3 linked regions of the Bombyx mori genome follow. The protein of the gene in region 3 binds, or shares a complex with, the protein of the main gene of each other region. Links are inferred from orthologs where the notes say so. Each region holds a gene or a part of one and is shown on either strand. Other genes may lie near its edges.

What was found.
Region 1: small nuclear ribonucleoprotein sm d2 (region 3) and gem-associated protein 2 share a complex: the UniProt entries of both Homo sapiens proteins name them as parts of the SMN-Sm complex. The link is inferred for Bombyx mori from reciprocal best matches to the Homo sapiens genes SNRPD2 and GEMIN2.
Region 2: small nuclear ribonucleoprotein sm d2 (region 3) and U6 snRNA-associated Sm-like protein LSm4 share a complex: the UniProt entries of both Homo sapiens proteins name them as parts of the U4/U6-U5 tri-snRNP complex. The link is inferred for Bombyx mori from reciprocal best matches to the Homo sapiens genes SNRPD2 and LSM4.

The regions. Positions count from the first base shown.
Region 1 is NC_085111.1:13,069,640-13,073,784, reverse strand, and holds the start of gem-associated protein 2, read right to left. Parts: upstream 2,833-4,145; 5' UTR 2,584-2,832; coding exon 2,356-2,583; intron 1,298-2,355; coding exon 985-1,297; intron 372-984; coding exon 272-371; intron 1-271. UniProt on the Homo sapiens protein: The SMN complex catalyzes the assembly of small nuclear ribonucleoproteins (snRNPs), the building blocks of the spliceosome, and thereby plays an important role in the splicing of cellular pre-mRNAs.
Region 2 is NC_085117.1:3,991,889-3,994,825, reverse strand, and holds U6 snRNA-associated Sm-like protein LSm4, read right to left. Parts: upstream 1,359-2,937; 5' UTR 992-1,358; coding exon 572-991; 3' UTR 533-571; downstream 1-532. Other genes in the region: guanine nucleotide-binding protein-like 1, read left to right, coding at 2,676-2,769. UniProt on the Homo sapiens protein: Plays a role in pre-mRNA splicing as component of the U4/U6-U5 tri-snRNP complex that is involved in spliceosome assembly, and as component of the precatalytic spliceosome (spliceosome B complex).
Region 3 is NC_085132.1:3,761,950-3,764,928, reverse strand, and holds small nuclear ribonucleoprotein sm d2, read left to right. Parts: upstream 1-1,250; 5' UTR 1,251-1,326; coding exon 1,327-1,328; intron 1,329-1,430; coding exon 1,431-1,683; intron 1,684-1,975; coding exon 1,976-2,080; 3' UTR 2,081-2,331; downstream 2,332-2,979. UniProt on the Homo sapiens protein: Plays a role in pre-mRNA splicing as a core component of the spliceosomal U1, U2, U4 and U5 small nuclear ribonucleoproteins (snRNPs), the building blocks of the spliceosome.

The sequences.
Region 1 (4,145 bases), on a different chromosome or scaffold from region 3:
TTAAATAAGAAAATGAAAAATCAAATTTCTTGTCATCATCATCAACCTATAGCAGTTTACTGCTGGACATAGGCCTATCCAATTGCACACCACAGCATGATTGTAGGCTTCTCTCACCCGGATCTTACCAGCTACCCTGTATAGGTAGTAAAAGCCCTTGTTAAATAATTGAAAAATTTCACACTGCCACTTTTCACAATCTTTGTTACATTTGTTTATGATTCAGCTGTGGTCACCTGCTGTAAATAACAATAGGTGTTATTATATTTACCTTATTTCAGCACACTTTCGAGCTAAATTTCTTAGAATACTTGTTGTATCAGACAATAGAGGTAGTTGGGTACAGGCCAAAAACGCATATACCCATTGACCTGAAAATGAAAAGGCCACCCAATAAAAACTTCTTCTGTATGCATCTGAACAATTTGTACTAAAAAAAAATGGTTTGTAAAACACAATGTATTCTATAAATAAGTTTAAAAATTGATATATATTAATTTGACAGGTAGGTTGGGTGGTTACGAAATCTCTGCTTTAAAAGTGGATTTTTGGGAGAGCTGATATGTGATTTCCTTACAAAGCGTTCACTAATCATCCTTACCCCAATTACAAATTTACTATTATCTTGATTTTATTCTCTTCATATAAAGCTCACTTGTTGTTACAAAATCTTGTATAATTTTGTATAAAGTTAAAGTAAAGACAAAATGCTATGATCGAATCAAAATTATGGAACACATAAAGAATAGTGGCAGAATGTATGCTGTATGAATAATTTGGTTTGCTGAGAGTAACAAAACAGGTTAAGTTTTCTCTTTACAAAAGAGCTGTACTTAATCAATAGGAAGATGATAGAGAAAACTTCAATATAAAATCCACAAACTTTGTTATTGAGAATGACATGAAGAAGTTCAAATCCATTTAAATTTAATTAACGGCTCTTAATCATCTTCTGAACATGTACAGTGTAAAGTAATGACTTACCTGTTTTATGTTCTATAGTATTACCAGGTTTCGTTCTACTAATAATATCAGTAAGTACTTCTAAACCTTGGTCTAGTAATGCATGTTGTAATCCGAGCACGCATGATAATGTTGGAATATGGGTACTGAAGAACTGTTTCCATTCAATTACACAGGTTGGTTTTATTTCTATAATATTAATATTGTTTTTCCATATTTTCCTTTTTGACAGCAAACGAGATATGTACATTCGAGTTTCTGAGAAATCTGCTACTTGCATGTTTTGCCACTCAATTGTAGGTTTTAACTTCTCAGGTACTGATAGCCTCGGGAACTAAAAAGACATTTCCATTAGACATCTATTCAAATTACAATAACATTACTAAGCCACCAAATTATTAAAACTATATTCTTAAAATCTGTTATGTATTATTTCACAGATTTAACGAATGATCTTGAGACCACCCATCAAAAACCATCAGTGACTAATAACTATAAATTAATTCTGCTGTAATTGCAGTTTGCTTTCTACGAATAGTGCAGATCATAAATTAATAACAGGATATACAATTTTGTGAGCTGATTATTAACTTTTTTATTTTTACAAAATGACTTTTATGGTCATGATCATTGAATAATTTTGTGTAGCCCATTTTTTGTGTAGACATCTTGCAGACATTTTAGACATTTTGTGTAGACATCTTAAGACTGTATTCGGGCATCAGGAATGAATCATTTATGAATATGTCCCAAGGTATGAATCTATTAAGATAAAATATCAGTGTATTTATTGTTTTACTTATATTTTACAAATTACTATTGTGAATGTTTTGAATTATAATTTACAAATATATTTTTAGTACTACCTACTATGCCTGAATGAATAAGATTAGTACAGTCATATTAATAAACATAAAAAAGGGACATCAATTAATTAATTATTCTTGATTTAGTACACATTAAAAATCTTTAATTATTCTTATCAGTGCCAATAATGAAAATTATGTATAAAATGACATCTCAGCTGCATTTTGCACAGTTAAGTGAGCTTAACTCTGTGTATTGAAAATTAATTAATACAAATTTATTATTTTAATTATATCATATAGAACCAGGTTTGATAGTTGAAATCAAACTCGGTTTGGTGAAAAAAGGTGACCTAAACATTAAAATTAGATTGATGCAGATAATGATTTTAAAAATGTTTTACAACTTTAGCTACTGGTGCAGATATTTAGAACAATGCGGAAATGTACCCAACCTTTTCCATAGTTACATCAGATGCAGATATTACACCAGAAATTCGTTTCAAAATCATTGGCATCATGGTTACATGAATGTAAATTTTGTTAATCAATCATTTTTAAAATCATTTTTCAGAACTTCACTGACCTCATGCACATACTGAGACTGATTTTCGGCAAACTTTGAATAATCTTTGTTGCATTTCGTAACTGCTGCAATGTTTTTACGCTCCTTTATGACTTTAAGTAAATATTCTTCACCGTTCGTTGGAACCTCTTTTAATTGCACATCAGGACTTATTTTGAAGCACGGTGATACTATATCCAAATTATCTTCATCATCCTTCATTGTTTTCAAGTACTTTTTCAATGACATCTTTTTCACTAAATTACAGCTTTGAGATATTATAACATTAACAATTCATAGTACATATATATGTAATGACTAATAAATAATACTTTTGTTTTGTCTATTTAGGCAGTCAAAAGAAATATAGCCCGTACAGCAATATTCATAGTTATTAACACTTATTATTTGGACAATATTTTTCTATAATTTCATTCTTGTGATCGGAAACGCGGTTTTATTAGTGATTGGTGTACGGTGACAGCACTGACAGCTGTTGGAATGTTGATCACAGATTATTAATAAATAGTTACTAATGTTGATTTCATAGAGTTAGTGTTGTAGGTACTTATTAACTCCATGGTTGATTTATAAAATCGGGCTTTTTTATCACGTAAATGTAGATTGTGGCAGTAGTGTGCAGATTCGAAAAGATAGCATTTTTGAAGTGAAACTTCTAATGCGATTTTCAACAAGGTTGCGTTAAACGTTTAAACTTTAACGCTACCATATCAGAGAAAGAATTTTTTTTAGGCGAATTTATGACCTCGTAACTAAGACCTTTAGGTCAAGTCTTATTTTTAATTTTAATGATACGTACCTTTTTATATGAAAATGATATTATGAAATGAAATGAAGTTGATTATTATGAAACATAGCATGAAATGTAATGAAAACGAAAAAAATGAAATGAGATGAGATGATATGGGATGAAGTATAAACTCAGTAAAATGGTGGTCATTTACTGAGACTTTTTCAGTGGACTTTTTGGAAGATAACGAGAAGTTGTTGGAAGGTTGTGATGCTGTCCACGTATAATTGTCTATGATGCATTATATTTGAATTTGTATTATGTTCCTTTTACTTTTGATGTGCGGTGTCATTCTGAATTAAATTTTCTCTTATACAAGTCAACACAATGTTTTCAAGTATTTAATTTACGTTTTAATTAATTGCTATAGCCGCTAGTCCATCCACCCTATCAGAAGTTACGTTCAGCGGCTTTGTTTCATTTTCCTACATTTATGCACTTTCACAGATACTAAACAGTTAATAAACCACAGTTATTGCACATTTCATTTTTCATAAAAATATAAATAAATAACAATGAAAATTAAATAAGTCAAGGCTTAAAGGTCTTAGTTACCAGGTCATAAAATCTCTTAAAATAATAATAAAAAAAGTATTGTAAGTACAAATTAGTACAAAAGTTAAAATTCGTTTGTGTTGTAAAGAGGTTTAAATATACGGTTGGTTCCTTTTATGTAGCGATTAACATAGATAGGTATTAATACACATAATACGCGAATTTATGAGGAAAGGATTTGTAGTATTTTGTACTAGTAATGTCTACATCTAGCAATCTTTCACAATCTACCTATTCCTCATCTGAAGCAGAAACTCCGCAAGTATGTATGCTATTTATTGATAATGAAATTATTGTAGTGATGTCGTTAAAAATTATAAAATATCTTATTGATGCTTCCAATCCTAGAAATATTTTTTTTCCTTAATAATAAATAAAAAACTCGTGTTATAGGTAACAACACAAAACAGAATACCAAATTTTGATCAATCATTAAACCATGTCC
Region 2 (2,937 bases), on a different chromosome or scaffold from region 3:
AATTAAGTAAGTGTTCTATTCAAATGTGATAACTCTATCTGTATCAAGTTTCAAGGATCATCATTAAAATATTGCTTTTACACTGTTTTTTTTTACTCTGTTTTTTACCATTTCATTAATGGGTATTGCCATATTATACAATAGTATTATTACTTTAAGCGTTTTTTGTAAATAAATGATTTCAGTATACTTTGATTTTTTTTATATATTGACACGAATTGAATAGTGTGAAAACCAATTAAAGATATAAAACAAAAAAATGTATTTTCTTAAAATATCAAGAAATAATAAAGTTGTATCCCATTTTAGATTTAACAGAGATATGGGTAGCTTAAATATTTTATATTAATGGATTGATGAATTCATAACTACCTGTGCATCTGCAGTTTCCAAATTATTTAGATATTATTGATTTTCAATGAATTCTACATCAGGATTATGACTAATAAATAATCTTGGATTTGGTCAAATATATGGTTGCTTTGCACCAGCATGTATGGAGGAATTTTGAACTTTAAATGAAACAAAACTATTCCTTAGCCAAATAACTTAATTTATTAAAAAACTTATCTTACATTTTATTTTTATTTTTGTTCTGTGGTCGCGGGTTCCCGCCGCCACGGGCTAGTGGAGGTGCTCTGCCGCGGTTACCGAATGCGCCTCGGCTACCACCACGGCCACCGGTCCTCATGTTTTGCCCGCGTCCCTTGGAAACCTCGTTACGACCGCGCGCTTTAACCTGTGTCTCCTCCTTCACCATGTCGATGACCTCGTCCGGTATTCTCAAGTATTTGATCGTACTACCACGTATATAACATTCCGGCATCCTCCAGAACTTGTCGCCGTCTCTCGACGTGCAAATAACTTCACGTAAATTAATGTTCATCCAATTATCGCAGCTTACGAGATGACCATTGTAAGTTTCGCCATTTTTCAATTCGACAAGCATAGGGTGGTTCTGCGCTGTCCGTAACAAAGATAGCGGCAACATTTTGATGTAATGATCAACTTCGTTTTGAAGTTTATTATTTATTTGTATTAGAAGTTTATTTTCCTACTTTCGCGTTGTTTGGTGTATTGTCAACTTCTTGTTTTTTTAGGTTACTTTAGGACTTTAGGTTGACACTGACAGTGCTCAGTTGTCAGAAGACGCACAGATAATACACTTAATATTTGAGAAGAAGTGAAAATTGCTTCAATGGTAATGTAATGAAGTTTGTGAACAAGAATTTACAAGTAGACGAGTCCAACTGGAGAGTTAAGGGACAGTTCTAGTAGTAGTGAATCTTGTGATGATGATGAATAATAATAAAACAATTTACGTTGCACACCATTGTATTAGTAATAAATAATTAGAAATCTCATTCCTGGTTTCAATTTATTCTAAAGGTGAACCCGTCTACAAAAATTGCATTCAATAGGATAAATGATGAAAAAAAAGAACGTATCGAAACTGGTGTTGAAGGGTTTTGTTGCTGAACTTAATAGTTAAATGTAATGTAACTTTTTTTGTTTTAATTTGACCATACAGCTTACTGTCCATGCAACTATCAATTTCTAGTTCCATGAGAATAAATCTATGTTCGATAATCCAAAGTCAATGACTTTAGCATCCTTACTGTGAGCTGTCAAAATTATCATAAATTTTTACTTTTTGGCGGGAACGCGGGGAGTGAAGTTGTGTGATTTGTTTTATTTTGTCTATTTATTGTTTCTTCAGGTTTAACTGTATAATATCTGTGAAAGTGCACAAGTGTGGGAAATTGAAACAAATCCGCTAGACGTAGCTTGTTGGGATCGTCCAAAGAGCCAATTGAAAAGTCTTAGTAAATGTCCACCATTTTACTGAGATTATATTTCATCCTACATCATCTCATCTCATTTCATTTAATTTCATCTCACTTCATTTCATCTTCATTTCATTTCACTCTATATTATCATTTTTCGTAAAAATAAGAATTAAATAAATTAAAATAAGATTTGACCTAAAAGTTTTAGTTACTAGGTCATAAAATCCCTTAGAAAATATCCTAAATTTGAAAAAAAAAACAGAGTTCAATGCCTTTAATTTGTCGGTCAGCTGTCAATTGTCAATCCTGTGAAAAAAAATGTTTTCAATTGTTAGCCGGTCGGTAGAATAATTTTCATATTCACACGAAAATCAATTAAATAGGTAAAAAGATAATAAGTTCAAGCCCTTCAGTGAGAAATTAGGAATAGATTTCTTGTTTTGAGTCTAACGTAAGTTTGAAACTATTTCTGTACAATTATAATATTCCAAGGAGACCTCGTGTTCCAAATTTTAGTTTTTCTCTTTATTAATTAGTTAAGTTTATTAATTCTTGATTTAATTACGGTTAAAAATCGGTTACGGTTTTTGAAAATCAGATTCTTAATCGCTTATTACGATCAATTAGTTTAGTATATTTGATAAATAATACATTACCCAGTACCTACATTTTTTGAGTTTACACTTACACCTGTAAGCGTTACTTTTGTATCTTCAAATCTGGTCATCAGAGCGAGAAAAAGTATAATGGTAAAATACTATGACGTGATATTCAATAAAATAATTAAAATACCCAGAAAAATATTAAAACTGTACTTGCAGTTCAACAGTTGTAAAGATGTTTACTTCATAATAACATTGTCCATAATTAACAGAGTTACTCGTCATGCCCCAAGCACGTCGGAAGACCCCGTTCAGCGGGAAGGCCAAAAAACAACAACTGCAGTCTAAGAAGCAGAACAAGGTTTTACTCATGCCTAGTACGTATTATCACATATTCGTCCTGAATTTATACAAAATTGAATTAGCTACTACCGCAGAAGTACTATTACTGAATTAGCTACTACTGCCTTTTTGAGGGTTGCAAGTCCATACATTAAAAAAAAGTGAAAGTGTGTTTGTTTATATTTCTTGAAACTTTGAAGCAA
Region 3 (2,979 bases):
AAATATACTGAAATCGCTTTCATTTATTTTCCTTTTCTTTAATACGGTAATGAAATAAAGAAATTTAATTGAATATGAAGTTCGTTAACATAAAATAAGCATGGCATATACAAAATTGCTGATTATATGATCATGACTTTGTATTTTAAAATTTCCTTAAGCGCCTTATTCACGATCCATCTTGCTGTACGTCCCGCCAAGGCCATGCACGATGCACGATGCATTTAGCGCTTTATTCACGATCCGTCACGGCTGTACGTCAGCTCAAGACCGCAGTGCTGGATGTATCAAGCGCGAACAGAATAAATCGAACGAATTAAATGAGGGTTTTAAGTTAAAATGCCAGCTGCTTTATCAAAACGCCAAAAATGGGAGTCCTTCTGATGTTGTCAGCAGCAGCAGAAGAGAGGCAAAAAATAGCAAGAGGTTTTGGATGATTTTTTTAAACGTGCAGAGTATACTCAAATAATTAATATCATTTTTTACGCACGCTATCAATCCTTGCAGCTTCCCCTAAAATGGGCCTAAAAATTGTAATACGTTTATTATTTTTGGTTTATTCATATAGTCTGCGCTTGAGACATTCCACAAAAATGTGGAACTTATAACTTTCAATAAATCTTGAAAGGGTTTCACGATCCATTTTGACGTGCAGTCTCCTTTCGAAACTCTTCGTTAACTTTAATTTCAGTATTACCACCGTCTTTTTACGATTTCATCAATGTCAGTGTCGAGTTAAAAACTGACATTTAGTGGCCATAATTGTTTGTTGAAATAATACTTTTTGGCGGGAACGCGAGGAGTGAAGTTGTGTGATTTGTTTTATTTTGTCTATTTATTTAGTGTTTCTTCAGGTTGAAATGTGTAATAACGGTGGTTTATTAACTGTGTATTATCTGTGAAAGTGTACAAATGTGGGAAAATGAAACAAAGCCGCTGGATGTAACTTCTCGGGATCCTCCAAAAAGTCCACTGAAAAGATCTCAGTAAATGACCACCATTTTACTGAGATTATATTATATTTCATCCCATATCATCTCATTTCATTTTATTTCATCCCAGTCGATTAATGTCCCAAATTAATCATTTTCATTTCACTCCATATTATCATTTTTCATAAAATTAAGAATATAAATTAAAATAAGACATGACTTACAAGTCTTAGTTACCAGGTCACAAAATTCCTTACAAAAAATTGTTGAATTAAAAAGCAGAGTCACCATAGACAAAATAAAGCGTCGACTTAGCGTGTGTACGATAGTTTTGCTGTAATTGTAATCTTTTTCACTCAATTTCTCAGTTCACAAGCCCATAAAATAATACAAAATGTAAGTATTAATATGATTTACGTAGTTTTAACAATATATTTAACATATTATCTGCTTAGCCGGTAATGGTCAACAATAACTCTAATGTTAACCTTATTATAGGACGTCAACAACTAAGCCACGCTCTGAAATGACCCTAGAAGAGCTATCTAAAATCGAAGAGGAAGAGTTTAGTACCGGACCTCTTTCCGTGCTCACGCAGTCAGTAAAGAACAACACACAAGTTCTGATAAATTGCCGTAACAATAAGAAACTCCTGGGTAGAGTGAAGGCTTTCGACCGGCATTGTAACATGGTATTGGAGAATGTTAAGGAAATGTGGACTGAGGTACCGAGAACTGGCAAAGGAAAGAAGGTAAACAGATGTTACTGTATTTCAGTTCAATTGATTCAGAAATTTGAGGTTATGTATTGGAAATAGGAACCACTCCCAAGCGCTCATGTATAAAAGTGCTACAGCTCCAACTTGAAAAGTACACAATAAGACATGATGTCGCGTATTTTAGGCCAATATTAGCGGAGATAAAATACAAACCACTGGAAATTCCCAAGATGACAATTATGTGGATATGAAACATTCTGTGTTAGCTCATTTCATTAAAACTCTTCAAATTCAAAATACGTATAACTTCTGGTTTTATTTTCAGGGCAAAGCTGTAAACAAGGACAAATTCATCTCCAAAATGTTCCTCCGCGGTGATTCTGTGATCTTAGTACTAAGGAATCCTCTTGCTACAGCTGCAGGGAAGTAATGCAGTAATTAGTTTAAGTATTAATGAATAAAATATTCAGGAAATGAATAGCTTTACTGGTTCATTCCTTAAACTGTAATAATACTTTTACAAAATTGGAAACTGTGTTAGTTCTATGATTCTGCAACTATATGTAATAAATAAACAAACTCGATATTTTAATATATTGAAATTGTATCAAGTTCACATATTGTAAGATAAAGCTAAAAACGATCAGTTATTATAATGATGCATTAAAAGAGTCTCACCAGTATTGTTGTTAATATTAGCATAAAATAACTTCATATTAGTGGCTGAACATACCAAAATTGAAAAAAAGATACTTACTTTTGGTGCAAGTAGTAACTAACAATTTTGTAAAATATAGATGCTTTAACATTTTTAAAGAAACATGGCAAAATTACAATGGTCAAGAAGTCCACAAACCTGTCAATAAGTTTATAATTTCTATAATAAACCAAAGTGTAAAAGTGTGTTTTTAATATGATTTTTTTCATAGCCCCTTATTAATTTGTGCAAATTAGATCTGATGTACATCATGGGATTAAGCTGTGCAGTCCAGTCCAATATTTTGTTAACATGTTGGTTTCATGACAGACACTATGAGTCCACAGCATACTTTCCCCTAGGGTAAAAAAATGTAGTGTTTTTTCAAAAATATTCTCAAGAAATTACTCAAAAGTAATGAGTGAGGTATGGAAACAGTGACTAAGTATTGTTTTCTGAGATATTTCAAATGGCAGACAGTGTCGTCATAGACCTAAGTAAATGGTTGTTACAGGGTGTCCACCATTCCACTGGACTAAACATGATTTCTAGTCTGGTGTTCAATGTGGTAATAAAATTAGAACTGAATATATGCAAAGGTCTTCACAATAAGGGAAGAACTTCATGGAACT